3 linked regions of the Anolis sagrei genome follow. The protein of the gene in region 3 purifies or fractionates together with the protein of the main gene of each other region. This does not show direct contact. Links are inferred from orthologs where the notes say so. Each region holds a gene or a part of one and is shown on either strand. Other genes may lie near its edges. The genes, in order: RNF41, NOD1 and SUGT1.

Region 1 (10,225 bases), on a different chromosome or scaffold from region 3:
TCTATTTTCCAGTTGTCAATCATTCTTGTTGCCATAATCTTGGTTTTTTTGACGTTTAGCTGCAACCCGGCTTTTGCGCTTTCTTCTTTCACCTTTATTAGAAGGCTCCTCAGCTCCTCCTCGCTTTCGGCCATCAGAGTGGTGTCATCTGCATATCTGAGGTTATTAATGTTTCTTCCAGCAATTTTCACCCCAGCCTTGCATTCATCCAGCCCCGCACATCGCATGATGTGTTCTGCATACAAGTTAAAAAGGTTGGGTGAGAGTATGCAGCCTTGCCGTACGCCTTTCCCAATCTTGAACCAGTCTGTTGTTCCGTGGTCAGTTCTGACTGTTGCTACTTGGTCCTTGTACAGATTCCTCAGGAGAGAGACAAGGTGGCTTGGGATGCCCATCCCACTAAGAACTTGCCACAATTTATTATGATCCACACAGTCAAAGGCTTTAGAATAGTCAATGAAGCAGAAGTAGATGTTTTTCTGAAACTCCCTGCCTTTCTCCATTATCCAGAGGATATTGGCAATCTGGTCTCTCGTTCCTCTACCTTTTCTAAACCCAGCTTGAACATCTGGCAACTCTCGCTCCATGTATTGCTGGAGTCTTCCTTGCAGGATCTAATACTATACTTGCAGGATCTAATACTTGCAGGATCTAATACTATAGAGGCCTACTATATTTCTTCTCCTTCTCCCTGAAGGCTTTAACTATTTTTCCTCAAAGAGGTATCTTTCTAACAAACAGTTCCCAAAACTTTTCCTTCCTTCCCCTTCAAATCTCCTAACCTAACCTTTAAACACCAAACTCCCAACTGACTAAACTATGGCTGCCTTAGCTCCTCCCTTTCCCTATGACTCCACCCATCTCCAGTTGCTAAGCAACTGCCTCCAATTTCACCAGCCAATCAGACCGCACTTCCAGCTATGAGGCTGACTGATCACTCCACCCCCCTACTCTCCTTAGCTTTTCCAAGCCAGGTCTATTTACTGCCTTTACACCAACCCTACAAGGTAGACTAATCCGTTACAGCCTGATATGAGAATTAATAAATAGTTCAAAGGCACTAGATCCCATCTCATCTTGGAAGCTCAGCAGGACAAGCACTTGGGTGAGAAGTGTTTTAGGCTGTATTTTAGGCCGCCCTGAGTCCCTCCTCGGGGGTGAGAAGGGCAGGGTACAAATGTATGAAATTTAGAGGAAGGAATTCAAAAACCCACCTCTAAGGGTACCTGGTCTTTAAAAAGCGCTATGAAATTAAGGTGAAATAAAACAAGAATATGTTTATATTTGTTATAAATCGATAGGCAACTTGAGGACACATCACACATGAAGGTGAATGACACAGAACTTTGAAGGAGGGGACTGTTAAGAAGTTGTATTTTGGAAGTAACTTCAAACTCATTATACAAATAAATAAATTATTGCTACCTTAGGTCCCTTCCACACTGCCCCTATATCGCAGGATCTGATCCCAGATTATTTGTTCATCTCAGGGCCCTTCCAGACAGGCCCTATAACCCAGGATCTGATCCCAGGTTTTCTGCTTTAAACTGGATTATATGAGTCCACACTGCCAGATAATCCAGTTTAAAGCGGATAATCTGGGATCAGATCCCGGGTTATAGGGCCTGTCTGGAAGGGCCCCCAGATGATAGGGAAATGGAGACTCATATAATCCACTTTAGAGCGGATAATCTGGGATCAGATCCTGGGATACAGGGCAGTGTAGAAGGGGCATTACTCTCATGGCACCCTTTTCTCCACAAAGAGATTCTTCACTGCTTTTAACTTATCACCCTCAAGCTCTGAATATCATAGACTCAACCATTTCAATCAAGGTCCTTGATTTATTCCCGCTTGTGGTACAGAGTTGACAGAATGCAAATCTGCAGGTTTTACTTTGTGGTTTCCTTTTCTTTTTTCTACTAGAACCTCAAGCGCCACCAACCAGTCAGATGGTGACTCTGATAGACAGAGAGATGCTAAGGAACAGAGCACCTCTGGGCATGTTCTCTGCCCAGGAATTTGTGGTCAATACCTGAACTGAGGCTGGATCGACACTGCAGTTTGAACTGCATTACAATGGTCAGTTCAGAAACTCATATAATGTAGTACAGTGCATTATTTGGCAGTGCTGATCCAGCCTCAGTTCATAAGATGTTTCAAATAACCACCCCAATTCCACACCTTCCAGCATAATTTTTCTGCAACCTAGGTGGTGACCAACTTTACAGGGAGTCTAATGTGTCCAGTGATAAACAAGTAAATGCCAATCTACTTTTTTTTTTTACTGTTTCTGCATAGGTTATATCAGGCCCCATTCTACACTGCCATATAATCAATTTTATGAAAACAGATAATCTGGATTTTATATGGCAGTGTAGAAGAGGCCTGTGTTAATTATACTCCCTCAGTCTCAGGCCCCTTCTACACTGCCACATAATCCAGATTATCAAAGCAGATAGTCCACATTATCTGCTTTGAACTGGGGTCCTTTCCACGCAGCTGAATAAAATCTCACATTATCTGCTTTGAACTGGGATATATGGCATGTGGACTCAGATATTCCAGTTCAAAGCAGATATTGAGTCCCGGCCCTGAGTTACTGCCCCCCCCCCCCCCAGTAGAGAAAGGCGGGGTATAAATAAGGTAAATAAATATTCCGCCTTGATATTCTGAGTTATATGGCTGTGTGGAAAGGCCCTGGATTATATAGTGTACACCAACATATGATCCAGTTCAAAGCAGATTTTATATGGCAGTGTAGAAGGGGCCTCAGAGAAAGGCCATGGCCAACCCCTTCTGAACACATTTTGAGAAGAAAAAGGGATAGGGACTCCATCCTCAACTTGAAGTAACATGAGAACAGGGGGGGAAAGTAGGATGAAGAGCATTTTCTTTACAGAAGGAAGGAATGAAGGAAGTTGCAGAGAATCTTCTTAACTTGCAACAGATGTTATATAAGAGGCAGAAAAACCTGTTTATTCTCTTTTCAAAAAGAACATTGATCATATCTGATTATTCAGGCCTCAAAAAGTACTGCTGTCAAGTTAAATGTTATTTTTGGCTTTGTTCTGCCTTTGGTTATACCTTTGTGCACACTTATGCAAAGGGAGAAAAAAGTGGAAGGGAAATGACATCAGGCGAACTATTTGACTCCAGAAGCAGAAGACAACTCCCCACTCATGCCTAATATAAAATCCCTGAGTAAGGATGCATCTACACTGTCAACATTGGTGATCACTCGTGTCCGAGTGGGATGGCCTTCCAAGCACAGTGTCTTGGTGGTGGGTCTGTAGGTGACTCTGGAGCCCACTTCTTGATCCGCATGTTCTTCTGCAGTGAGGACATTGGTTTCCAGATGGAAGAAGGTCCTGGTCAGGGTTGGCTTGATACACCTTCCTCTTGATGCATTTCTCACTTTCGCCCTCCGTTTGTGCCGCTTCCAATTCCACAGCACTTTGGTCACAGCTGACCTCCAGTTAGGGCGCTCACGGACTAGAGCTTCCCAGTTCTCAGTGTCTATGCCAGTTTTTAAGATTGGCTTTAAGCCCATCTTTAAATCTCTTTTCTTGTCCACCAACATCCCATTTTCCGTTCTTGATCTGAGAACAGAGTAACTGCTTTGGGAGATGGTAATCAGGCATTTAGACAACGTGGCCAGTCCACTGGAGTTGATGTCGTAGGAGCATCGCTTCAATGCTGGTGGTCTTTGCTTATTCTAGGACACTGACATTTGTCTGCCTGTCTTCTCAAGAGATTTGCAGGATTTTCCGGAGGTAGCGCTGATGGAATCGTTCTAGGAGTTGCATGTGACGTCTGTTGAGTGTCCACATTTTGTAGGCATATAACAGAGTTGGGAGAACAATGGCTTTATAAACAAGCTCCTTGGTCTCCCTATAGATGTCCTGATCCACAAACACTCTCTGTTTCATTTGGAAAAATGCTGCACTCGCAGAGCTCAGGTGGTGTTACATTACAGTGTCAATGTTTGACTTTTGTGGAGAGATGGTTACCAAGGTAGTGGAAATGGTCAACATTTTCTAATGTTACATCATTAAGTTGTATTTCCAGCATTGCAGAGAGACTGGCTGGTGCCTGCTGAAAGAGCACTTTTGTTTTCTAAATGTGGAAAAAACCATGCTTTCGTATGCTTCTGCAAATGTGTTTCAAGTAACTTGTAGGCCTTCTTCTGAATGAGCACAGACTCCATTATCATCAGCATATTGCAGTTCTATAACAGATGTTGTCACCTTGGTTTGGCTTTCAGTCTGCTGAAGCTAAATAACAGAATGAGTTAAATGTACACTGTAGAACAGGTATGGGCAAACTTCGGCTTTCCAGGTGTTTTGGACGTCAACTCCAACAATTCCTAACAACCAGTAGACTGTTAGGAATTGGAGTTGAAATCCAAAACAACTGGAAGACCAAAGTTTGCCCATGCCTTCTGTAGAATGGGTGTAGTTTGACACCACTTTAACTGCATTGGCTCCATGTTATGGAATCCTGGGAGTTGTAGTTTGGTCAGGCACATTTTTGGCAGGGAAGGGTACAGAACTTCTTAAATTGCAACTCCCATTTTTCCATGGCATTCAGCCAGGGCACTTAGGACAGCAAAAAAGGTTTTCCCCTGACATTAAGTCCAGTCGTGTCCGACTCTGGGGTGTGGTGCTCATCTCCATTTCGAAGCCGAAGAGGCGGCGTTGTCCGTAGACACCTCCAAGGTCATGTGGCCGGCATGACTGCATGGAGCGCCGTTACCTTCCCGCCAGAGAGGTACCTATTGATCTACTCACATTTGCATGTTTTGAAACGGCTAGGTTGGCAGAAGCTGGGGCTAACAGCGGGAGCTCATGCCGCTCCCTGGATTCGAACCTACGACCTTTCGGTAAGTAAGTTCAACAACTCAGTGGTTTAACCCATTGGGTGCCTCCGGCGTGCAGCTGTACAAACAAGCCCCTCCCACTCCGGCACGCCCACCCCTCAAAGCCCCTCCCACTCGGCCGCCGCGTGCCTCTCCGCCTGGCTCGTCGGGCAGCGGGCGATACATAGAGTGGGCGGGGGTGAGCGAGTCGCGTCTTTCTCCAGGTGGCTAGAGTGGTCCGCCTCGCGCGCCCTCCTTCAGTCTTCCCCATCCCCGCCTCTGTGAGGGCACAGAGACAGAGAGAGAGAGAGACGGGCATCCGGGTTGGAGCTGGCGTGTTTCCGGTGGTGGCTGTGAGGGAGAAAGAAAGGGGTGGGGGAGCGAGCGGCGGAGCGGCGGATTCCCCCACCCGCAGCCGGGCCCCGCGGGAGGTAGGCCGGAGCCGAGGCGGGGCGGGGGCCTGCCGCGGGGAGCGGGAGAGCGGGGAAAGGCCACGGGGCGGGGGGTGGTTTGGAGGCACAGCGCCTGAGGGCCGCCGCCGGTCGCGCCTTAGACGCCCTTGTTGCCAGGGAGGCCCGCTGGGCAATCGGGGCTGTTCGACGCCCCCTGTGCGGCCATGGCTCCTGGGATGTGTAGTGTGGTGAGGCACCGGCCTCCTTGGGCAGCAAAGGCTCAAGGCCTGGCCGAATAGCAGCTCCCAGGCTTCCACAGCAATTGAGGCATGGCAATTAAAGTGAGATCAAACTGCATCAATTCTGCAGTGTAGACGCGCCCACAGTGGGGCTTCCTCTTCCAAGGCTTGACAAGCACTTCCAGGCAGTTCTGGCCTCCGCAGTGTATGAGAAACTACCATGAGCAGAAGGTATGTCTAAGGCAGGCATAGGCAAACTTGGCCCCTCCAGGTGTTTTGGACTTCCGGCTGTTAGGAATTGTGGGAGTTGGCGCCCAAAACACCTGGAGGGCCCAAGTTTGCCTATGCCTGGTCTAAATAGAAACAGTGAGGACATGTTTGTTGAAAAACGGCAAACTGACCATGAATGTGAGGAATATCTAAGGGGAAACTCAATGGGAATAATAATAATAATAAGAAGCATTATTTTTATTACTTGGGTTGTTGTAGTTTTTTTTTTTTCGGGCTATATGGCCATGTTATAGAGGCATTCTCTCCTGACGTTTTGCCTGCATCTGTGGCAAGCATCAAGGTAGTGAGGTGACTAGGTGAGGTCACTACCTCTGAGGATGCTTGCCATAGATGCAGGCGAAACGTCAGGAGAGAATGCCTCTATAACATGGCCATATAGCCCGAAAAAACCTACAACAACCCAGTGATTCTGGCCATGAAAACCTTTGACAATACATTTTTATTTTTTACTAGCTGTCCCCTGCCACGCATTGCTGTGGCCCAGTCTGTTGATCTGGACAATAAAGTAATGAGAAAGTGTTGGTTTCTATTATATGTAATTTCTTTATGCTTGTGGGTAAAGAGTATTTCTTGCTTTTTCTTTGTCAGTGTTTATGTGGAGAGTGTCTGGTTTGCCTCCATGCAACATATCATTGTCCTTCTTTAAGGGTCTCTTTCAAATCTATGATACTATATCTCTCTCTGTGTGAATCATATCTATCTATATCTATCTATGGCTGGATGGCTCCTTGTCAGGAGGACTTTGATTACGTTTTCTTGCCCTGATGAAGGTAGTTGTATTGCATGACCTTAAGTATTTTCTGTTGGTCATGGGGGTTCTGTGTGTGAAGTTTGCCCCCGATTCTGTCCTTTGTGGGGTTCAGGATGCTCTTTGATTGTAGGTGAACTGTAAATCCCAGTGACTACAACTCCCAAATGTCAAGGTCTATTCCCCCAAACTCCCATCTGTGTTCATATTTGGGCATATTGAGTGCTTGTGCCAAGTTTGGTCCAGATCCATCATTGTTTGAGTCCACAGTGCTCTCTGGATATAGGTGAACTACAACTCCCAAATTCAAGGTCCATGCTCACCAAACACTTCTAGTATTTTCTGTTGGTCATGGGAGTTCTGTGTGCCAAGTTTGGTTCAATTCCATCGTTAATGGAGTTCAGAATGCTCTTTGATTGTAAGTGAAATATAAATCCCAGCAACTACAACTCCCAAATGACAAAATCATAATTTTTTGAGTGATGGTCACTCCTTGTGTTGTGAGACGTTTTGTTGCCAAATTTGGTGTGATTTTGTTCATTGGTTCTTTTGTTTTTAAGGTAATCATTATGCACAAAGCATTTATATATATATAGATTTGCTTTGAAGTCCAAAACACCTGGAGGGCCCAAGTTTTGCCCATGCCTAGTCTAAAGAGAAACTGTTTGTTGAAAAACGGCAAACTGACCACGAATATGAGGAATATCTAAGAGGAAATCCAATAATAATAATAATAATAAGCATCATTTATCTTTATTTATTTCAAGTATTTATACCCCTGTCCTTCTCACCCCTGGAGGGAGACTCAGGGCGGCTTATAACAGCCAACCATTAGATGCCAAACAAATACATTAAAATACACAGTTACAATGAAAACAGCAATTAAAAACAATTATAAACATTCAATTTAAAACAGTCCGCCAGTTCAGAATCATAGTCCAAGGTCAGTCTATTGCCGGTCACGTCAAACATTCTCTTCCTAGTTGCTACATTTACTGCTCAAATGCTTGAACCCACAGCCAGGTTTTAATATTATTATTTTTTACAAAAGGCCAAGACAGAGGGCACAGACCTAATTTCATTGGGGAGGGAGTTCCACAGCCAAGGATCCACCACGGAGAAAGTCCTGTCTCCCATACCCACCAGTCTCACCTATGAAGGTTGTAGGACCGAGAGCAGGGCCTCCCCAGATGATCTTAATGTTCTATCCTGCCCCCTCTCCCCAAAGGGACTGGACAACTTACAGAAAAACAAACGAATGCATTATATAATGAATAATAATAATAAGCTTTATTTATATTCCGCCCCTCTTCCTAAAGGACCTCAGCAACTTACAGACAGTGATCAAATATCAATTAATAAAACAAAATAGCACAATAGTGTAAACATAAATAACAGTTTTAAAAACTGTTTAACCCTCTAAAAACAGTATATATAGAAATGGTGTTTAACACCAGCCAATAAGTGTGTTGAAAGATAGTTCCGGTTTATTGGCTCTTTGAGCAACAAGGATGGAGACTGGATGATGTCATTGTATTGCCAGAAACTTTAGCACGATTTACCAATAATGTAAATGTACCAGACCTTTTGGGAAACCTTTAATGATACAGTGCACACAAACACACACACACACACACCCTTTATCCACAGCGGAAACTCCCAGACTTTGCATGGATATGCAGAGTCATGGATAATAGCACCCAATTGAAATGAAGGACTAAATTATTCCTCAGGAAGACCATAAAGCCATGCTGGAGGATCTAGAACAGGCATGGACAAACTTTTTCCTTCCAGGTGTTTTGGACTCCGACTCCCACTATTCCTAACAGCCGGTAGGTTTGCCCATGCCTGATCCAGAAGATGCCTAGAGAAAGACACAAGGGATTTTTTAGGAGGTGGATCATTAAAACAAAGGATTCCAGTTCCCCGGATACTGTACTGCTGACTAGCTGGGCATCTGAAAAATATTTTTGCAACATTTATGTGCCAATAATTTCATTTATATAGGTTCAGTACACTTTATCTGAAATACTTAGGATCAGAAATGATTTGGATTTAAAAATTTGAATACCTATTTACAAATGTGTTTACAATAAGATATCTTGCAGATAGGGTGCGTGTCTAAATATAAAATTTATTTGCATTTTCTTTGCACTGTACTGTATATATAAGATGTTTTAAAATGATGGACCCAGTTTCAAAGCAGTATATTTCTTGCTTCAACATGTTACAATTACACAAAAGGTTACAAACAATTTAATGAGTTATAATGTTTTACTAACCACTTTGAGACCGAAACAAATCTAAAAAAAGAACTCCACACATGGAGGCTCTCTTATTAGGCCTTACGTTGCATGACTTGTGAATGACTGAGGCCAGAGGCTGTTTGTGCACTGGGAGAAGCAGCTGTAATCATTGGAAACCATGCCCCGCTCTTTCAAATTGTAAGAGTTGAATTGATGAGAGGTTAATTGTTGCAGAGATATAGCAATTTCAAATTGGGTCCAACTTTTGAAACACCCTGTACATAGGCTGAATGGATTATTATTATTATTTACACCCTGCGTTATCTCCGCAAAGGAGATAAACATTTTTATTAATAATTTTGTGCTTTAAATTGAGTTTGTATACATTGAACCCTCAGAAAACAAGGGTGTCACTATCACAGCCCCCTCTGTGGTCAATTTTGAATTTTGCATTTCTAGATATGAGATGCTGTATACACTCGTGTTGTCATAGTTGATATTTTCTAATGAAAATAAAACTGTTTTAAAATTTGATGGAGGGAAATTTACCAGGAAAGTTTGGAAACTGGCCTTAACAATCTAGTAAGTTAAAAATAGGTCTTAATAGGAAGCAGGGGTTGAAAGAAACCTATGAGATAAATATTTTTTACTTTTTTGGAAAGTAGCTTCGGAGTGTGAACAGAGGTTGAAGAGAGACTCTTATGTTTTATGTGCCTCTAGAGACATGGATTCCATGATCTCCTTTGTATTGCAGAAATTGAGGACAGAAGCAGCAGCATCATGAATGAGATGCACTTGCAATGTTTTTCTCTAGATCAGAGCTTTTAAAACTTTCCATTTATGACCCTTTCTCCTTTTTACCCATGAAATGTTTATATGACCAAAAGTATATAGGTATATTCAACTGGTATAAAAATCAAACATTTACTGAAAATAAACCAGCATTTACAAGGCTTGCTAAACAGGCTGATTTTTCTTTTTGTGGAGTACAGCTGAAGCATTTTTTGCAGAGTTGACTATAAACACTGCATGTTGTTGCTGTTAACTTGTTAGGGTTGGGTAAATAACCCTAACACATGGCTGAAGAGAGTTGGACTAGATGGCCCTGGGGTCTTCCATTGAAATACTGTAAAGATTTATGTTGGTTAACATTGTTCTTCATTTTAAATACTCTATTGTTCTTTCATCCTTTTTTTTTTTTTGCACTGTTGGAATGAATGAGTTCACGCACTCTCCATCAATCTGCCACTGACCTGGCCCATGTCTGATATATACATATACATTCTCTCTCTCTCTCTCTCTCTCTCTCTCTCATACACACACATACACATAATGTAATATATAAACAATTATTGGGGCTCCATAATAAACTTTTGCTTCATAAAGGGCTCCATGGCTGAAAAAGGTTGAGAACCTGTGCTCTAAAATACTGCTATGACAGTTTTCTT
Region 2 (11,245 bases), on a different chromosome or scaffold from region 3:
CATCAGGACTGCAATGCAGGAGTTCAGCTTGAATCCAAAGTATGTACAATGATAATGAAATGATAAAGGAAGCGGCTAAAAAGTTCTTACTTTATAGCAAAATATTTTAAAAGTCCATGTTCAGGAAAAAGGCGAGATAAAAATAAAGTAAATAAAAGAAACTCATTTAGAGATATAACTTTTTGGCCATCAACCAGCAAGGTGGAAGAGAAAAATGGAAATTGCATTAAAAATTACTTCCAAACTAATTTAAGCTAATGCTTGGTTTCAATGCAACAGCATATTAAAATATTCTTCAATCAGAATCAATTTCTGGTTGTATTTTACTTATGAGTCATGTTGTGAACTGCTTTACATACCTGGAAAAAGGCAAAATATAACATCAAGAAATAAATTTCCCAGTCATCGATAACAACTTCTTCCCTTTATATCTAACTTACCTACTTGGGACTCCCTTCCAAAAGAGTCTAGTTTCCCCTCTCTTGTCAGTCAAACGCCAAATGAAAAATATATCTATTTGTGCACATTTTAGAGAATATTTGTTATTAATATAACTGACTCACTGTTAAACAAGCAACAACACAACTATGCAGCTTTTTAATTAGATTTCTTTTACTGCTGCTTGTTTTATACTGCCTTTATTACTTTTTAAGATGTAGTAGTCATTTATTGTTTTAGGCATTTGTGATCTGCCATTTCAATAGGGTGTTTTAATGCTATTAGCCTCCTTGAGTTCATATGAAAAAGTATGAGGTATCAAAATTCAAAAAAGACCTCTGCATAGGATTCACCTACACCTTAACGTTGAATCCTTTCAATGCTGATGCATTGTTAGTTGTTGCCATCATGTAGATAAGCGGTTCCCAACCTGTGGTCCGTGGACCAACAGTATTTATGTATTTATTTATTTATTTATCGTGTCAGGGCAACCAGTCAATTACATTACATTTCTAACAGAACAAAGCAAACAAACAGACAGAATACAAAATTTGTGAGTTTGGTAGTTGATTAAATGTCCTTTGACCAGTATCTGGCCACTTGGAGTGCTTCTGGTGTTGCTGCAAGGAGGTCCTCCATTGTGCATGTGGCAGGGCTCAGGTTGCATTGCAGCAGGTGGTCAGTGGTTTGCTCCTCTCCACGCTCGCATGTCGAGGATTCCACCCTGTAGCCCCATTTCTGAAGGTTGGCTCTGCATCTTGTGGTGCCAGAGCGCAGTCCGTTCAGCGTCTTTCAAGTCGCCCAGTCCTCTGTGTGTCCAGGGGGGAGTCTCTCATTTGGTATCAGCCATTGGTTGAGGTTCTGAGTTTGAGCTTGCCACTTTTGGACTCTCGCTTGCTGAGGTGTTCCAGCGAGTGTCTCTGTAGATCTTAGAAAACTATTTTTTAAGACCAACAGTGGTCCACGAGAACTAAAATATATCACGAAAATATTATTGTGGATTTGAGAAATGTGGATTTGATATAATGAGGTGTGGCAATGAATGGAAGAATGAAAGTTGTATGGATGGAGTTAATAATTTTGGCTAACTATGTGGATAAAACCTGCTAATGAGATCTGAAAAGTAATCTCTGATAAGAATGGGACAGTGATAAAGGAAATGTTTGCAACCTTCCTTATGTTAAGAAGGAAGTCAACACAGGCCTTGTGTTTGTCAACACCAATCAAGAAGAGTCAACATCTGGCCAGGAAACTGAGATGGAGCCAAGATGGAAGATGTCTATCATTAATTTACAACTTTGGGACTACATCAGCAGAATATTCCTATATTTTATAGGAATATTCTGCTGATGTAGTCCCAAAGTTGTAAAGACTCAGTCTAATAATGCTCAAAATGTGACCGACCTGAGGAGTCTGGTTCACCCACTATGCTCTGCTCCATGGGAAGGAGAGAGATAGTGTACCTATGAAGAGTGGCAGATCTGCACGGGAGCAGTCTGGTCACTTTGGGGCTTCTTTCTCAAGGGAAGAGGAAGAAGTGCGCTTTTGGAGTCTTAGATTTTGTGCAGGGAGTCAGGTTCTGCTGTATGGAAAACAGAGATCTGGTCCCTGGCATTGTTCTTAGGGAAAGGATGCATTTTGGTGTTTTGAAGTTATGGCGTTACGGAAGTTTTGGAACTATGCATTGGCAGGCTGCAGGAAAGCAGGGTCTGGCCTAACACGTGCTTCTCCAAGGAGGGAGAAAATGATATGGTAACATTTGAATGCCTGAGGATCATTGCGTGTATATGTGGTATGAATGTTGAGTGAAAATGTAATTCCCCTTTGTTTGTTTGTTAACCAGTGTAATTGTAAATCCAATGTAGTTGCTTAGAATCTGTATGTCTGTAGGTCCAATGTCATTCTTTATCTAAATGTTTTCTGTAATCTGATATACCCTCTCACACTGGAAATTGCAATAAAAAGAACCTATGCTTTAAAGTTATTGAAAAGTCATTCATGACAAATATGGTCCGCAGCCTCACCATTACTACCATTGCAACGAGAGCGACTGGTCTCATGATACCCTCTTATAGTGCCAAGGCTTATTAAATATTTATTTATTTACTATATTTATATACCGTTTTTCTCACCCCTGGGGGGACTCAAAGTGGTGTACATCAAGTAATAGCAAGATTCAATGCCAACATATATACAAACCTAAAGCATAATAACTAAAATAACCCAAACATATTACTATAAATTAAACCATTAAAATAATATTAAACATAGAACATAAACAAATAGGCCATTAAAACATAGAATTAAAAACCTCTTAAAGGGGTAAAGGTTTCCCCTTGACATTAAGTCTAGTCAAGTCCAACTCTGGGGCTTGGTGCTCATCTCCATTTCTAAGCTGAAGAGCTGCCGTTGTCCATAGACGCCTCCAAGGTCGTGTGGCCGGCATGACTGTATGGAGTCCCGCCAGAGTGGTACCTATTGATCTACTCACATTTGCATGTTTTTGAACTGCTAGGATGGCAGAAGCTGGGGCCAACAGCGGGAGCTCACCCCGCTTACTGAATTTGAGCCACCAACCTTTCGATCAGCACATTCAGCAGCTCAGCAGTTTAACCTGCTGCACCACTGGGGGCTCCCAACCTCTTAATATAACATTAAATCACATAATCCAGAATCCTAATCCAAACCGATTTTTAATTATGTTGTTTTAATTCATATGGTCACGTACAGATTTCTAGGGCCAATTCTGTGGAATTTCCAGGTTGGGAGAAAGAACTCTTGCCTGCTTGAGGAAAGTGTGAATGTTGCAGTTGGCCATCTTGATTAGCACTGAATGATCAAAGCCTGGCTGCTTCCTGCCTGGGGGGAATTCTTTGTTGGGAGGTGTTAGCTGGCCCGGATTGTTTCCTGTCTAGAATCCCCCTGTTTTTGAGTGTAGCTCTTTCTTTACTGCCCTGATTTTAGAGGTTTTAAACACTGGTAGCCAGATTTTGTTCATTTTCATCATTTTCTTCTTTCTGTTGAACCACGAAAATGAACAAAACCATGAAAATGACTAAAATCTGGCTACCAGTATTAAAAAAACCTCTAAAATCTGGGCAGTAAACAAAGTGAAACATTCAAAAATAGGGGCATTCCAGACAGGAAACAATCAGGGCGAACTAACAAAGGATTCCCCCGGCAGGAATATCACCTCAAACAGATAAGAGTACTTTCTCCCACCCTGGACATCACATAGCTATATAAATCTCACTTGCCGAGTTTCCAACAGATCTCACAACCTCTGAGGATGCCTGCCATAGATGTGGGTGAAACGTCTGGAGAGAATGCTTCTGGAACATGGCCATACAGCCTGGAAAACCTACAACAACCCAGTCATTCCGGCCATGAAAGCCTTCAACACAGAGAACGCTCTCCTGCAAAAGGTGCCTTGAAAGGCATTTATTATTACACTAGTAGAGCAAAACACCAAGTTTGCCCATCACACTAGAGAGAAAAAAAATCCACTTAAAATCCGATTTCTGCCTCCTGCAGAATTCTAGGATTTGTAGTTTAGTGAGGTTCGTAAAGGCTCCTCCCTAATCTACAAACCCCAGAATACTGCATGAGGTAGAAACCAGATTTTAAGTGGATTTTTTTCTCTAGTGTGATGAGGCCCTTAACACACACACAAATCATTTCTTTGCATTCCTCAAGCTCTGGCTAATGAACGAGGGGAGCATCTACACTGCAGAATTAACTCGGTTTGACACCTATTAACTGCAAGGGCTCAATGCTGGGGGTTGTCGTCTTGCAAGCTCTTGACCTTTCTCTGTTAAAGAGTGCAAACATCACCAAACGACGACTCTTAGGGTTCCACTGTATTGAGAAATGGCAGTGGTATCAAACTGCGGTAGTTCTCCAATGTAGATGCACTCTTACCCCTTCGGCGGTCAAAAGCAACTTTTCCTCCGAGTTTCCCTGAATCTTTCTTCTCTCCTGCTGCCTCCGGGGATTGGGCTTGGAATAAAAGTTACTTTTTTTGGCACCCACGAAGCCGACAAAGTTGGGATTCCAGTAAGGCTCTGCTGCAGGGTCGCCTCCCCTTCCAGCCCCCCAAGATCGCGGTCCCACTTACCAGAAGGATCCAGAAGAGGAGAAAGGAAAAGCGAAAGGGGCCGAAGGGGCACGAAGAGAAAGCGGGGCTGCTTCTGCTTTTACTCCCCGCCCCGGATCGCATCTCCCGGAGCCGCCGCCCCCAGAGCCCGAGCACAGAGCTCCAGGACTCCCTCCTGCCCGCCTGGCTGCCTTTCCAATGGGAAGCGTGGTGTAGTTCGCAGCGCCCCCTGCAGGGCGGCCGCAGGAAGTGGCCTAGGCAGAGAACGCTCTCCTGCAAAAGGCGCCCTGAAAGGCATTTATTATTACACTAGCTGTGCCCTGCCACGCGTTGCTGTGGCCTATAGTAAAACTTATCAAAGTTGAGGTAGATATCTGGACTATTATGAAAGAGAGGTCCCTACCTATTCCTTCCCCCTTTTCCTCCCCCTTTCTCTACTTTCTTCCTTCTCTCCGTCTTTCTTTCTTTCCTTCTTTCACTACTTGGTTTCATCCTTCTCTCTTTCCTTCATTCCCTCCCCCTTTCTTCCTTTGCCTTTCTTCCCTCCCTGTTTGCTTCCTTCTTTCTCTTTTTATTTCCTTTTATTTCACCACCATTATAACAATAACAATAATGCAATGCATTCCCTCTGGGACCTGACACCTCTCCCATTCCCCCTAAAAGGGTCTCAGAGGAACAATAGCATCATCATCATAATAATAGAAATAACAACCTTTACCCGCCACGTGTTGCTGTGGCCAATCTTCCCTCTTTCTCTCCTTCTTTCCCTCCCTCCCTCCCTCCCTCCTTCCTTCCTTCCCATCTTTCCTTCTCCTCTTCTTTCTCTATCTCTTTCCTTCCTTCCCCCTTTTTCTTTCTCTTCTGCTGTCTCTCTTTTCTTTCCTTCCATCTTTCCTTTTCTTTCCTTTTCTTCTTCCTCTAACTTTCCTTCCTTCCCCCTTTTTCTTTACCTCCCTTCCCCCTTTTTCTTTACCTCCCTTTCTCTTTCTTCCTTCTTTCCTTCCTTCCTGTCTTTCCTAGATTTTGACAGGGCGGGAAGGGGCGGGGTGGGGTTTGGAGGTGGCCTGAAGTAAAAGGAGGTAAGATTGGGGCAGGGGAGTGATGGAGCGTGGGGTTGCGTATGTGTGTGCGGCGGCGGGGGGAGTGATGGAGCCTGGGGTTGTGTGTGTGTGTGAGGCGGTGGGGGGAGTGATGGAGCGTGGGGTTGCGTGCGTGTGTGCGGCGGCGGGGGGAGTGATGGAGCGTGGGGTTGCGTGTGTGTGTGCGGCAGGGGGTGTGTGTGTGCGGGAAGCGGCACGGCGGAGCTTGGAGTGGGCATGGTTTCCGCAGAGGGAACGTTGGCCGGAAGGCCATGTGCGCGCGCGATGGAACTTGCGGCTGGGCACCAATGCGCATGCTCAGTTGTTTTGCCGTTTTGTGAGTGTGTTGTGTTGTTTTTCATTTTGAGTAGATATGTTTGTACCTTGTGGGTTGTGTTATGGGCACGGAAATTTTGGTTAAGTTTCGTTGGGGGATTTTTGAGTTTTGTTCTTTTGCCGTTTTGTGAGTGTGTTGTTGTGTTGTTTTTCATTTTGAGTAGATATGTTTGTACCTTGTGGGTTGTGTTATGGGCACGGGGATTTTGGTTAAGTTTCGTTGGGGGATTTTTGAGTTTTGTTGTTTTGCCGTTTTGTGAGTGTGTTGTTGTGTTGTTTTTCATTTTGAGTAGGTATGTTTGTACCTTGTGGGTTGTGTTATGGGCATGGGGATTTTGGTTAAGTTTCGTTGGGGGATTTTTGAGTTTTTTTGTTTTGCCGTTTTGTGAGTGTGTTGTTGTGTTGTTTTTCATTTTGAGTAGATATGTTTGTACCTTGTGGGTTGTGTTATGGGCACGGGGATTTTAGTTAAGTTTCGTTGGGGGATTTTTGAGTTTTGTTGTTTTGCCGTTTTGTGAGTGTGTTGTTGTGTTGTTTTTCATTTTGAGTAGATATGTTTATACCTTGTGGGTTGTGTTATGGGTACGGGGATTTTGGTTAAGTTTCGTTGGGGGATTTTTGAGTTTTGTTGTTTTGCCGTTTTGTGAGTGTGTTGCTGTGTTGTTTTTCATTTTGAGTAGGTATGTTTATACCTTGTGGGTTATGTTATGGGCACGGGGATTTTAGTTAAGTTTCGTTGGGGGATTTTTGAGTTTTGTTGTTTTGCCGTTTTGTGAGTGTGTTGTTGTGTTGTTTTTCATTTTGAGTAGGTATGTTTGTACCTTGTGGGTTGTGTTATGGGCACGGGGATTTTGGTTAAGTTTCGTTGGGGGATTTTTGAGTTTTGTTCTTTTGCCGTTTTGTGAGTGTGTTGTTGTGTTGTTTTTCATTTTGAGTAGATATGTTTGTACCTTGTGGGTTGTGTTATGGGCACGGGGATTTTAGTTAAGTTTCGTTGGGGGATTTTTGAGTTTTGTTGTTTTGCCGTTTTGTGAGTGTGTTGTTGTGTTGTTTTTCATTTTGAGTAGATATGTTTGTACTTTGTGGGTTGTGTTATGGGCACAGGGATTTTGGTTAAGTTTCGTTGGGGGATTTTTGAGTTTTGTTCTTTTGCCGTTTTGTGAGTGTGTTGTTGTGTTGTTTTTCATTTTGAGTAGATATGTTTGTACCTTGTGGGTTGTGTTATGGGCACGGGGATTTTGGTTAAGTTTCGTTGGGGGATTTTTGAGTTTTGTTGTTTTGCCGTTTTGTGAGTGTGTTGTTGTGTTGTTTTTCATTTTGAGTAGGTATGTTTGTACCTTGTGGGTTGTGTTATGGGCATGGGGATTTTGGTTAAGTTTCGTTGGGGGATTTTTGAGTTTTTTTGTTTTGCCGTTTTGTGAGTGTGTTGTTGTGTTGTTTTTCATTTTGAGTAGATATGTTTGTACCTTGTGGGTTGTGTTATGGGCACGGGGATTTTAGTTAAGTTTCGTTGGGGGATTTTTGAGTTTTGTTGTTTTGCCGTTTTGTGAGTGTGTTGTTGTGTTGTTTTTCATTTTGAGTAGATATGTTTATACCTTGTGGGTTGTGTTATGGGTACGGGGATTTTGGTTAAGTTTCGTTGGGGGATTTTTGAGTTTTGTTGTTTTGCCATTTTGTGAGTGTGTTGCTGTGTTGTTTTTCATTTTGAGTAGGTATGTTTATACCTTGTGGGTTATGTTATGGGCACGGGGATTTTAGTTAAGTTTCGTTGGGGGATTTTTGAGTTTTGTTGTTTTGCCGTTTTGTGAGTGTGTTGTTGTGTTGTTTTTCATTTTGAGTAGGTATGTTTGTACCTTGTGGGTTGTGTTATGGGCACGGGGATTTTGGTTAAGTTTCGTTGGGGGATTTTTGAGTTTTGTTCTTTTGCCGTTTTGTGAGTGTGTTGTTGTGTTGTTTTTCATTTTGAGTAGATATGTTTGTACCTTGTGGGTTGTGTTATGGGCACGGGGATTTTAGTTAAGTTTCGTTGGGGGATTTTTGAGTTTTGTTGTTTTGCCGTTTTGTGAGTGTGTTGTTGTGTTGTTTTTCATTTTGAGTAGATATGTTTGTACTTTGTGGGTTGTGTTATGGGCACAGGGATTTTGGTTAAGTTTCGTTGGGGGATCTTTGAGTTTTGTTGTTTTGCCGTTTTGTGAGTGTGTTGTTGTGTTGTTTTTCATTTTGAGTAGATATGTTTGTACCTTATGGGTTGTGTTGTGGGCATGGGAATTTTGGTTAAGTTTCGTTGGGGGGTTTTTGAGTTTTGTTTCCTCGTTGGATGCCCCTAACAAATTTATATATTTCTTTTTCTTTACCTCCCTTTCTCTTTCTTCCTTCTTTCCTTCCTTCCTGTCTTTCCTAGATTTTGACAGGGCGGGAAGGGGCGGGGTGGGGTTTGGAGGTGGCCTGAAGTAAAAGGAGGTAAGATTGGGGCAGGGGAGTGATGGAGCGTGGGGTTGCGTATGTGTGTGCGGCGGCGGGGGGAGTGATGGAGCCTGGGGTTGTGTGTGTGTGTGAGGCGGTGGGGGGAGTGATGGAGCGTGGGGTTGTTTTTCATTTTGAGTAGGTATGTTTATACCTTGTGGGTTATGTTATGGGCACGGGGATTTTAGTTAAGTTTCGTTGGGGGATTTTTGAGTTTTGTTGTTTTGCTGTTTTGTGAGTGTGTTGTTGTGTTGTTTTTCATTTTGAGTAGGTATGTTTGTACCTTGTGGGTTGTGTTATGGGCACGGGGATTTTGGTTAAGTTTCGTTGGGGGATTTTTGAGTTTTGTTCTTTTGCCGTTTTGTGAGTGTGTTGTTGTGTTGTTTTTCATTTTGAGTAGATATGTTTGTACCTTGTGGGTTGTGTTATGGGCACGGGGATTTTAGTTAAGTTTCGTTGGGGGATTTTTGAGTTTTGTTGTTTTGCCGTTTTGTGAGTGTGTTGTTGTGTTGTTTTTCATTTTGAGTAGATATGTTTGTACTTTGTGGGTTGTGTTATGGGCACAGGGATTTTGGTTAAGTTTCGTTGGGGGATCTTTGAGTTTTGTTGTTTTGCCGTTTTGTGAGTGTGTTGTTGTGTTGTTTTTCATTTTGAGTAGATATGTTTGTACCTTATGGGTTGTGTTGTGGGCATGGGAATTTTGGTTAAGTTTCGTTGGCGGGGTTTTGAGTTTTGTTTCCTCGTTGGATGCCCCTAACAAATTTATATATATAGACTAGCCATCACCTGCCACGTGTTGCTGTGGCCCAGTCTTGTGATCTTGAAAATAAAGCGATGAGAAAGTGTTGATTTCTAATATATGTAATTTCTTTATGCTTGAGGGTAAACAGTACTTCTTTCTTTGTCAGTGTTAATGTAGAGAATGTCTGGTTTGTCTACTTTGGAACATGGAACATATTATTGTTGGTGGGTTGTTGTAGGTTTTTTCGGGCTATATGGCCATGGTCTAGAGGCATTCTCTCCTGATGTTTCACCTGCATCTATGGCAAGCATCCTCAGAGGTAGTGAGGTCTGTTGGAACTAGGAAAAGGGGTTTATATATCTGTGGAATGACCAGGGTGGGACAAAGAACTCTTGTGTGTTGGAGCTAGGTGTGAATGTTTCAACTGACCACCTTGATTAGCATTTGATGGCCTGGCAGTGCCTGGGGCAATCTTTTGTTGAGAGGTGATTAGATGTGCCTGATTTATTTATTTATTTATTTATTTACTTTATTGATAAACCGCTTTTCTCAGCCCTCAGGCGACTCAAAGCGGTGAACAACATCAATACAAAACATCACGAGACAAGTATAGGGCAATTAAAAACAGTTGTAACAAAAATAATTAAACATCCGTATAACAATCATTAGCGCCTCAACAGTAAAATCAGAATCCAGTCTCATCATCCATTATTCCATATTCCTATGTTCAATTACACTGTTTAACCAAATGCTTGTTCGAACAGCCAGGTCTTGTTTCCCCTTTGTTGTTTTGCTGTTGTAATTTTAGAATTTTTTAATACTGGTAGCCAAATTTTGTTCATTTTCATGGTCTCCTCCTTTCTGTTGAGATTGTCCACATGCTTGTGGATTTCAATGGCTTCTCTGTGTAGCCTGACATGGTGGTTGTTGGAGTGGTCCAGCATTTCTGTGTTCTCAAATAATATGCTGTGTCCAGGTTGGTTCATCAGGTGCTCTGTTATGGCTGACTTCTCTGGTTGAACTAGTCTGCAGTGCCTTTCATGTTCCTTGATTCGTGTTTGGTCAATGTTGTGTTTGGTGGTCCCTACGTAGACTTGTCCACAGCTGCATGGTATACGGTAGACTCCTGTAGAAGTGAGAGGATCCTTCTTGTCCTTTGCTGAATGTAGCATTTGTTGGATTTTCTTGGTGGGTCTGTAGATAGTTTGTATGTTGTGTTTTCTCATCAGCTTCCCTATGTGGTCAGTGGTTCCCTTGATGTATGGCAAGAGCACTTTTCCTCTGGGTGGATCGTTGTCTTTACTCTCGTGGTTTGTTCTCGGTCTTGCAGCTCTTCTGATGTCTGAGGTGGAGTATCCATTGGCCTGTAGAGCCCAGTTGAGGTGGTTCAGTTCATCTTGAAGGAGGTGGGGGTTCGCAGATTCTTTTTGCACAGTCATTCCACAGATATATAAACCCATTTTCCTAGTTCCAATAGACCTCGCTACCTCTGAGGATGCTTGCCATAGATGCAGGCGAAACGTCAGGAGAAAATGCGATGGTGCTTGATCTAAAATCCTAACAAAAATCTCACTAATTTAAGAACTGCAAAACATGAACACATTCCTTTGACCTTGAGAGGCCTGCTTTTGCCTCTTTTTCTCATGGATTTTCCTGCACCTGAATCTCAGCCCTATCATGATCAGCCTGGTATCTCTGTCAGCTGCTCTCTCAGATGAGCTACTGTTGTCCTCTCCCTGCTTGTTGGATTCCAAAACAGTTCCATTTTCACTCTCATCTTGCTCCAAACCCCCCTCCATTCCCTCATTTTACTCTAAAACCTGTTTGCTCACCTACAGAACCATCAGGCTGTGAACCCCCAAACCCCTCATCTTCATCTGACTGAGCTACAACAGGCCTCAGTATGAGGAAGGCCTCAGTGTGAGGTAGGTCTCAGTGTAAGAAGGCCTGGTGTGAGAAGCTTTGCTGAGAGAAGCCCCATGTTGAAGGCCTCGTGACGCTCCAGTGTGAAGGCTGCTGTGTGTAAAGCTACAGTACAAAGCTCCTGTGTAAATTCGGTGTGAGAGGAAGCTCTGTGAGAGTAAAGCTGTG
Region 3 (10,507 bases):
GCTGATGAGTTTTCCCCTTCAGGATAACACAGTGGTAGAAAATTGGGCCCAGGTTTTGCAACCCATAAACAATCCCTCAGTCTTCAAAAACCACCTTTTTAAAAATTAATTGACAGAAACCCCGCCTGAACATAGCAGCAGAGGAGGAAATAAGTAAGGAAGTTTTGGCATTCTGATAGCAGAAACCCACATGCTGTTTAAAAAAAACTTAGCCTGTTTCAGAAAGTAGCAAGCCATAATAAACAATACCTAGTTTTGAAAATATGGCGCTTCCCACAATGAAAAGTTAAACCTATTACTGTGTTCTCTGCAAGGTTTATTCAGAGGTTTGCCTTTGCCTTACTCTGCCTCACCAAACTACAAATCCAAGGAGTCACAGTAGTTAAAGTGGTAATCCGACAATTCAGATGCATTTCTAGTCCTACACTTAAACCACTACATCAGACTGGATCTCAAAGAAACCACATCTTCTATCAACGCCATAAATTTTCTTTCAGCCCAAGATGAAGATTAGGGCTGTGTATAGGCAGCTACATTAAATTATGTCTCTGATACTATTTAGTCTTCTCATACTCATAATACCAATGATTGTATTAAGGTGTTCACATTTTTCAAGTGTACACTGTGAAAAACAAACTGAGTGGGAAATGCAGCACTTCGATGTGTTAACATTTAGGATGGAGGAGAGAGAAGAAAGAAGAGGCACCTGGCAGCACCTCTTTCACTAACGAATTTTTAATTTTGCATGCACTTTCAAAGATATAAGTCTCGCCTATAAAGCATACCTATACAGTGGTGGGATTCTAATAGAATATTATAGGACACAGAAAAATGCAACTCAAGTCCTATGTCATAAATGTTCAAAGAGATGTGTTTCTGAGAATTAGCCTGAAACAAAATAAATTAAGGAAACTGGCATTTATATCTTCAGGAAAATTCCTGAAGCCCACACTGTATTCGCAGTCCCTATAGAGCCCTACCATTATATTGTTTCAAAGTCCTTTTTGACCACCAAATAGCACATCATCCCCAGGGCCGTTCCACACAGCCCTGTATTCCAGAATATCAAGGCAAAAAATCCCCCATTATCTGCTTTGAACTGGGTTATCTAAGCCCACACTCAGATAAGGTGGGATTTTCTACCTTGATGTTCTGTGATATAGAGCTGTGTGAAAGGGCCCACAGGCATTTTAGGTCCAGTATTTTTTTCTTTAAAAAATGAAGTAGATCCCGGTTCTCTTCTAGGCTAGTTCCACTACTTGCTATTGCAGTAGTCTCACGTATCCAACATAAACGGGCTGGCAGAACATTAGATAAGCGAAAATGTTAGATAATAAGGAGGGATTAAGGAAAACCCTGTTAAATGTAAAATTAAATTATGATTTTACAAATTAAGCACCAAAACATCATATTTTACCACAAATCAACAGAAAAAGTGGTTCAGTACATGGCAAGGTTATGTAGTACTTGCTGTATTTACAAATTTAGAATCAAAACATCAAAACGTATGGAAACAGCTGCCTCGATGAGAGGCAGACTGCATTGGATACTACAAACGTTGGATAAGCAAGACTCTACTGTAATCGCTTTACCACTTAAAAGAGGATTCCTCCCAAAAAGAATGTCTCCAGATGAAATGCAATCCATAACGGCCCAAATTGTACAGATAGATGTACAAGAAATGCATGATTTGTATAAGAAGTGTAATTCTAGGCAAAGTATATACTGCTGGTTATTGTTAACTGCTGACAAGTTGACCCTGTAACTGAGAGACCTCCAAGTCATTCTAACGTGGAACCCTAGGGTTTGATGAAACACAGTTTGGGAACCTCTGCTCTACAATGTTAAAGAACTTTCTTAAAACCTTAACTTAACCACCTGCTTCGCCATATGCTTGGGTGCACAGAAACATTTTAACTGCTTTTTGAAGGGGGCAACGAGAGGGCCATTTTGATTTCCTTCAGAAGGGAATTCCAGAAGTAGGGGGCAAATGCAGAGAAAGCCCTCTCTCTTGTACCCAACAGCCGGATTTGAGGCAGGAGCGCCTCCCCTGATCGCAGTGTCTGGACAGGTTTGTATAAAGAGAGGTGGTTGGCCAAACACTCTGGACCCAAATAATTTAGGGCTTTAAAAGTAACAACCAGTATTTTAAATTTCACCCAGTAGCAAACTGGGAGCCAGTGGAGCTGCTGCAGCAAGCAAGTTGTTTGCTCCCTGTACAGTGCTCCGGTTAGTAACCTAGCAGCCGACCTTTGCAGCAGCTGAAGCTTCTGAGCACTCTTCAAAGGCAGCCCCACATAAAGCGCGTTGCAGTAGTTCAGTCAAGATGTAGCTAGGGAATACACTACCATGGCCAAATCTGGCGTCTCAAGGTACGTGCGCAGCTGGCACACAAGTTTTAATTGTGCAAAGGTGCTCCTGGCCACTGATGACACCTGGGGCACCCCCACGCTGTGTACCTTGCCTCAAGGGGGAGTGTAACCCCATCCAGCACAGGCTGTATCCCTATACCCTGAGCTGCCTTGCAACTGACCAAAAGCACCTCTGTCTTGTCAGGATTTAATTCTAATCTATTCACCCTCATCCAGTCTATTACAGTATATAGGTACCAGTTCAGGATGAGAACAGGATTCTTGGCTGGTTTTAAACAATATCTATATATAAATGTTGTTTTTAAAGGACTAAATAGTCTTGTAAACTGGTTATTTATTTATGTTTACATTATTATGCTATTTTGTTTTTAATAAGTGATATGTGATGATATGTGATTATTGCCTATGTTATATCATTGACTGTATTTGTTTGTTCTTACTGTAAGTCGCCTTAAGTCTCTTCGGCACAAGGGGGCAGGATATAAAAATATTATTTTGGTGGAAAGGGGTAATGAAGTTGGGTATCATCTGCATTAACTCCAAAACTCTGGATGATCTCTCCCAGTGATTTCATGTAGATATTAAATAGCATGGGTGACAGAATACCTGAAAGCAATGGATTCAAATAATCAGAAAGAAAATTCCAAGGAAACATTGGGGACCCTTCTACACAGCCATATAACCCAGAATATCAAGGCAGAAAATCCCACAATAGCTGCTTTGAATTGGGTTATCTAAGTCCACACTGCCATATATTCCAGCCCAAAGCAGGTATTTTGGGATTTCCTGCCTTGATATTCTGCATTACATGGCTGTGTAGATGGGCCCTGAGTCCACACTGTCATATATTTCAGTTCAATGCTGGTGTGGGATTTTATACAGCTGTGTGGAGGGGAATAAAAATGCGGATAGTGGGAATTGTTTTGACTATGGAATATGCTGCCGCCTCCAAGACAGTAGTCTCCTTCCTTGGAGGCTTTGAAGCACAGGCTGGGTGGCCATCTATTTATTTATTTACGACATTTATATGCCGCCCTTCTCACCCTGAAGGGGACTCAGAGTGGCTTACTATATACATACATTATATTATTACCATAGTACAATATCAGTGTTATATATTACTATATTACACTTACCCTATAATCCTTACATATCACCTGTCACATCAGCACTTGGTGTATTGTTTATTGCTTGTTGTTTAATTTTGCTTTAACTGCTTTAATTTTTTAAATTGCTTTAGGTTGTGTATTGTTATGTTGTGTTTGAGGCCTTGGCCTTTGTAAGCCGCATCGGGTCCTTCGGGAGATGCTAGCGGGGTACAAATAAAGGTAATAATAATAATAATAATATATTGATGTATTTTGTTATTGTGTGTTTATTATGCTGTATTATTTTGGGCTTGGCCTCATGTTAGCCGCCCCGAGTACCCTTTGGAGAGATGGTGGCGGGTTATGAATAAAGTGTATTATTATTATTATTATTATTACATTGTACTATACCATTATATTGTAATATTATTTGTAATATTACATGCAATAGAAAATATATAATTATAATATATTATTATTAGTATTATACTGTATTACATTATAATATTATAAATATTATATGTATATACAATATTCATCTATCATGGATGGTTTGTACTTTTCCTGTATGGCAGGGGGTTTGGTCTGGATGGCCCTTGGGGTCTCTTCCAACTTTATGATTCTACACACTATGGACCCTTCCACAGAGTCCTATATCCCAAAATATCAAGGCAAAAAATCCCACAATATCTGCTTTGAACTGGGTTAACAGAATCCACACTGCCATATATTCCAGTTCAAAGGAGATAATGTGGGGTTTTCTGCCTTGACATTCTGGGATATGGGGCTGTGTGGAAGGGCCCTCCAATATAGGAACAGCTATCCCACATCTGGTGAACTGAGCTTTTGTTCAGGAAATGTCAGGCCGTGAGGGAAGCGGGAAGTCGCCACTGTACTACATGATTCTGTTTCGGGAGAGATATAGTTTTGGCCAGCTGAGAGGGAAAACAAACCAAAAAGCAGGGAGACCCGTGTGGCAAGAATGGAAGCTCCCCTTCCTACCTGCACGGCGCCCGCGGGGTCTTTCTCGACGTCGCACTCCGTCAGCCTGCGGAGAAAAGCGAGAGTTAGGCCCGAACGCGGAGGAGGAGCGGGGTGAAGGGGTGGGGGGTTGAGGGCTCACCACGAGACTCCCATTCCTGCCGCCTCCGCCATCATGGCCCCGCCGAGGAAACTTCTAGAGCGCGAAGATTTTGTTTCTTTCCGCTGTCGCGCGCGCCCTGTGACGTTGGAAAAGGCGGTGCCGGCGCGGCCTTTATACGTCAGCAAGAGTCCTCTCGCGGAGGGCGGCGGAGGAGTCAACATTCGATGGGGGGCGGAGCCTCCACGGCAGAGGGCCCGCCTCCCGGCGTCAATCATCTTCCAAAACAAGAGGGAAGTTCAATGTACTGTATTGTCGAAGGCTTTCATGGCTGGAATCACTAGGTTCTTGTGGGTTTCTTCGGGCTATAGGGCCATGTTCTAGAGGCATTTCTCCTGACGTTTCGCCTGCATCTATGGCAAGCATCCTCAGAGGCAGTGAGGTCTGTTGGAATTAGGACAATGGGTTTATATATCTGTGGAATGGCTGGGGTGGGGCACAGAGCTCTCTGCTAACAGGTTGCTAACAGGTTGCTAACAGGAGCGGCACTCAGGGAGCATACTACTCTCTTGCACCAGCTCCACTGGCTGCCAGTTTGCAACCGGGCACAATTCAAAGTGCTGGCGTTAGCCTATAAAGCCCTAAACGGTTCTGGCACTACTTACCTCTCCAAACGCATCTCCTCCTATGAACCAACTAAGACATTAAGATCATCTGGGAGTATTTCCAGGTGGAATGCTCTAAGGATCAGAAGGTAGAACTGTTGCTTTCTTTTTCTGACTCTATAGTGGATTTTCCAGTGCAGGAAAATAAAGATGAAACAGGAGTGAAGTAATGAGGAAAAAGTACAAACAGAGGGGTGTATCTTCTGAAATCCCCTTAAATTTCTATGAACGACACATCGTAATCGTGAAACCATTAATAATCCATCAAAGGAAGGCAATACAGAATAGCTGAAGAAATGTTCAAAAGTTGTTGACACTACACAGTTAATAGCACTGTGATTTTATTTGAACAACCATGTTTCCCTCCTATGGATTTATGGGATTTGTAGTGTACAGGAGGGCATTTTCAATTCTCACCAGAATGCTCCAGACTTCAAAGCCCATGATTCCATAGGATGTTACCATGACAATTAAGGTGGAATATAGAACTTGCACTGCATAGTATGAATTAGGCCCTAAATGTTGCCTCCAGCCTGTGGAGATCTTAACAGTGGGTTTATGGTGAGATTAGGTGAGCCCCCACCTTAGAGAGTTTTAAGAAAAATCTCAAAACCTGGCTCTTCCACTGTGATTTTGGAGATTAACCATTAACTCATATGCCCATTAACCCTCAATATCCATTTTTAGTGCATATGAAGGTCCTTTTCGACCCCATCTTGGAAGAGTTCCTCCCTCATAAAAATAATCCACTCCACTGCTGTCTCACCTCCTGTTTTTTATCCTTAATATTTTATTCAGGACATGCGGCCCACTCATTGTTTTATGAATGATTTTATTGTAATTTTATATAGTTATGTTTTATGTTAATCATTGTGTTCTTGTTTATGTTTTTGATTTCATTTATTTTATTGCATTGGTGGGCTTGGCCTCATGTAAGCTGCCCCGAGTCCCCATTGGAGAGATGGTGGCAGGGAATAAATAAAGTTTATTATCATGATTTATTATTGCTATTTCAATTGTTGTGTGTGATAGAAGTAACTATTTCCATTTTCAGTTCGTTTCAAAATGTTAAAGGAGCAGCAAAGAAAACTTGTTGCTCTATCTTGGCACTGATTTAGGGAAATCCTAAATTAGGGACAGGACAACGATTATGTTGTCCAGTTACAATTATGCTGTATTTTCTCCATTGGCGGCTATCACATACACTGAAGACAGAACAAAGGTCTTCGGTGAGGAGAGTCCAGGTCTCTTGAGTTGTGCTACAAATGTCAACAAAATAAAGAGGTGTGCTCTGTTTCTCCATTTTCTGTAAGTATAGAAAGCAAGATGTCACATTCCTCAAGACCACTTCCTCTCTTCTGTAAAACTTGCTCACACGCAATCTGATAAAAGGCAGGTGCTGAAGTTCGTTCATACATGTGATAGCGGGAAGGATCCACAGGGCCAGTGTGAAAGAGAAGAATTACAGTTATGCTGTTGTCTGTAACTAGTTTCCTTGTAGGTAATGGGTGTAAACAAGACACATTTCGCAAGTAATCTAACTTACATGAACCAAGTAGTCCCTATATAAGAATCAAGTTCCCTTTCCGGTTGAATGAGTAACAATTTCTACTTAATTTCAAGTGTTACTTGTAAAGGGCTATTTTAGGCATTTCTCAGGAATCTTTCCAGCGTTACCCCATTCTCTTATCAATTCTAAGTGTTTCCCCTGAAAAACGGCACACGTTAAAGTAGTAATGGGTAGGAATACAAACTAACATCCTCATCATCCATCTCCTACACTAGTTGTTTTCATCATTAAAACAAGTTTTTGCCACATGTTACCTTTAAAACACAGTAAGACAAGATAAAGATTTCCCCTGACATGTCTAGTCATGTCTGACTCTGGGGAGTGGAGCTCATCTCCATTTCTAAGCCAAAGAGCGGGCATTGTCTGCAGACATCTCCAAGGTCATGTGGCCAGCATGACTGCATGGAGTGCCATTACTTTCCTGCAGAAGCGGTACCTATTGATCTACTCACATTTGCATGTTTTCGAACTACTAGTTTGGCAGAAGCTGGGGCTGATAGCAGAAGCTCACCCCATTCCCCGGATTTGAATCGCCAACTTTTCCGTCAGCAAGTTCAGCAGCTCAGCGGTTTAACTCGCTGCGTCACCAGGGGGCCCGAGAGTAAGACATAATTATTATTTTTAAAATGCTTCTAAAGCTTTACGCAGAACAACTAAAAGCAGAGATTGTGTCTAGCTGTGCTGCCAATCCTGGATTCTCAACTGTAGTTGTGAATCTTGGTTTTGGCTGATAAAATTCAGATTAAAGGTCAATAGACTTTCATTTTTTAAAAATCTATATCAAGAATTAAGTGCAAGAGAAAAGGGTTCTAATCTAGTTTTCTATCCATAGTGCTTGTTTTTTTGTTTTTGTTTTCTACATGCAGGCAATTTCCTTCATACTGCATGCAAGGACATTCAGTCATGAGGGGCATCGATAGCATAGAAGAATACAGATCAGCTACAGCTTGCTTACTTTGTGAGAACCAGATCTCAGTACTTTTCCTATACAAACATCAAGCTTTTCAGTGATGTAAATTGTTTTGATTAAATTTATTTATGTGGTCATGAACATTTATTTATGTGGTCATGAACAATATTAATTATGGGAGGAAATATTCTCTCATTTACAGTTTTATTGAAACTCTGTGTATGCATCTGTATACATGTTTTTTATCATTTCAGAAGTAAATTGAGAATATATTGCAAGTCACTTCTGGTGTGAGAGAATCGGCTGCCTACAGAGATGTTGCCCACGGGACACCCGGATATGTTACCATCCTGTGGGAGGCTTCTCTCATGTCCCCACATGAGAAGCTGGGGCTGACAGACAGGAGCTCACCCCATCTCACTGATTCAAACCACTGACCTTCAGGTCAGCAGTTCAGCCGGCACAAAGATTTAATCCATTGCGCCACTACGGCTCCTTATACACATATATAAGAATGGCCATACAGATGCTGTTGGGAATACAACTCCCAGACCTAGCCAGTATAGACATGGGTGAGGAATTATGGGAATTGCAGCAGAACAGCACCTGCAGGGCCACATGATTCCTTCCCCAGATGTTTATGCCCATCACAGACAACTTATCAAAACTTTTCATACCTGTTTATCAACCCAAACTCAGAACTTACCAATAGAGAAATTCAAATATTCAGCTTAGACTCACAAAAGTGTGAATGCTCAAATGATAGCAACCAGTTACACACACCAAAAACAGCACATAATTCATTGTAAAGGGTAGGGCTTTACATGCAGTTGAACATGTTCATTATTATTGCTACAGCTTATAAGACGTTCATATTAAAATTGATTGTCTTATGATTTTCTTTCTTCCCTGTGGAAATGAATCAATTCAGACAATGGTATACTGTTATTAGACCAAGTAGTGAGATTTATAAATGCATCACACTGTACAAACTGACACATCGCCATTGAAATGGGATTTTTCTTATCAAATTATTGTTGCACAGGCATCTTGCCAAAGCCATGATAAGCAGAAGGAAATTCACCATATCCAGTCTGCAAAAAGAATCCTGTTTCTCTTCTAATGAGCAACTAACATTTTAATTCAATTTGTGTTAAAAAAATATTACATGCACAGTTTAACTTGTAAGCAAAATTATACTCAGCTTCACAATTCATTGAGAGGAATGTTCCACAAATAATCAAAGGGTGCCAACCTGAGAAAACATGCGTAGCCCTGATCATTTTTATTTTACTTCTGGGCCACTTGCCACAAATAATTTGTGTAAAAGCTAGAAGCATATTAAAGCAAATCCCAGCAGCATCATTTTCACTTAGTGCACATGGTTGAAGAATGCAGACATGAAAAAAATAGCTAGTTGCTGACTTCAGCCCCAGCAAATATAGCTGCCTAAGAGACTGTAAAATATCTGTGTTCTTGCTCAGCACTGTCAAAACCAATGATAAAACATAAAGTGAAACAATTTATCCACAGTTGACATCTTATTTGTATATTTAAAAACCACTAATGCTAATTGGAATTCTCATGCCACATGAAAATGTCACAACAGTGGTACTCAAGAGCAAATAAACATCAAAACAAAACCACCCTTTCTATTACTTCTCTATGATAAGGTGCTTAAGAGCTGTAAAAGATCCCAACAGCTATCCAGTCAATTCCCTGCCATGTCGGAAAGGCACAATCAAAGCATCCCCCGACAGATGGCCACCCAGCCACTGTTTAAAAGTTTCCAAAGAAGGAAAATCCACTGAACTCTGAGGCAAAAGTTCCACTTTTGAACAGCTCTCATGGTCAGGAAGTGCAGTGAGATATCCCTGTGAAATTGCAGGCGCAATATTTTGGACAAAAAGAATATACACAACGAGAGCTTAAGACAACTAGATACCAGGAGAAATACACACAATGAGGAGAAAGGGAATACAAATCACAGAAGGACTTTATTGTAAATTTCTCAAAGTGCCTTTAGACTCTCGAAGAAACATTTTATTTAAATACACCCTCCTTTCCATGATTAAATTTTCTATTGTGGGGCTGTCCAGATATTGTTAAATATATGTTTAGATTTTAATTCAAGGTGGAAGTATTATATCTTCTGTCATCATTTCCTTGTTGTGGATTTAATGATTGAATCACTGCTCCTAAAATGCTTAATGCTCGACAATGTTCTTACCATCCCCTGCTTGTCCTTCAGTCTTGTTGATAAGCACAGTGTTTGAGCTTTTGATATGGAACATGAAGTTAGTTATGTACTATACACTCCTACTTCTGTGCAGTTCCATCAATTATACTGGGATGATAGAGGGCTTAAACCTGTTCCTACTTCTGACATTTTTGAGAATCCTGCCAGCGCCCTATGCCAGCATAACCACCCCAGAGCAAGCAGTGACAATAGAGGAAAAAGCCACGGCTGCAGCAGCCATGAAAGAAGTAAAATACTGGAGAAAAAGGCTACTCAGAGTCAGCCGTTCACTGCCATAGCTGTACAGCCCTGGAACAAGTGAAACCACTGGGGCAGCGTAACTACAAACTACCTGTAACCTGGTGTGTCTAAATCAGTGTTTCTCAACCTGGGGGTCGGGACCCATGGGGAGGGTCGCAAGAAGGTGTCAGAAGGGTCACCGAAGACCATCAGAAAACACAGTATTTTCTATTGGTCATGGCCATTTTGTGTGGGAAGTTTGGCCAATTCTGTCCTTGGTGGGGTTCAGAATGTTCTTTGATTGTAGATGAACTATAAATCCCAACAACTACAATTCCCAAA

The links.
Region 1: the proteins of SUGT1 (region 3) and RNF41 purify together in Homo sapiens (affinity purification with mass spectrometry; 3 studies listed by BioGRID and IntAct, with this or other methods). This does not show direct contact. The link is inferred for Anolis sagrei from reciprocal best matches to the Homo sapiens genes SUGT1 and RNF41.
Region 2: the proteins of SUGT1 (region 3) and NOD1 purify together in Homo sapiens (affinity purification with western blotting; 3 studies listed by BioGRID and IntAct, with this or other methods). This does not show direct contact. The link is inferred for Anolis sagrei from reciprocal best matches to the Homo sapiens genes SUGT1 and NOD1.

The regions. Positions count from the first base shown.
Region 1 is NC_090022.1:138,315,665-138,325,889, reverse strand, and holds the start of RNF41 (E3 ubiquitin-protein ligase NRDP1), read left to right. Parts: upstream 1-4,999; 5' UTR 5,000-5,292; intron 5,293-10,225. UniProt on the Homo sapiens protein: Acts as E3 ubiquitin-protein ligase and regulates the degradation of target proteins. Polyubiquitinates MYD88. Negatively regulates MYD88-dependent production of pro-inflammatory cytokines.
Region 2 is NC_090026.1:80,381,222-80,392,466, forward strand, and holds the start of NOD1 (nucleotide-binding oligomerization domain-containing protein 1), read right to left. Parts: upstream 4,840-11,245; 5' UTR 4,556-4,839; intron 1-4,555. UniProt on the Homo sapiens protein: Pattern recognition receptor (PRR) that detects bacterial peptidoglycan fragments and other danger signals and thus participates in both innate and adaptive immune responses.
Region 3 is NC_090023.1:141,078,429-141,088,935, forward strand, and holds the start of SUGT1 (protein SGT1 homolog), read right to left. Parts: upstream 4,827-10,507; 5' UTR 4,820-4,826; coding exon 4,584-4,819; intron 4,509-4,583; coding exon 4,463-4,508; intron 1-4,462. UniProt on the Homo sapiens protein: May play a role in ubiquitination and subsequent proteasomal degradation of target proteins.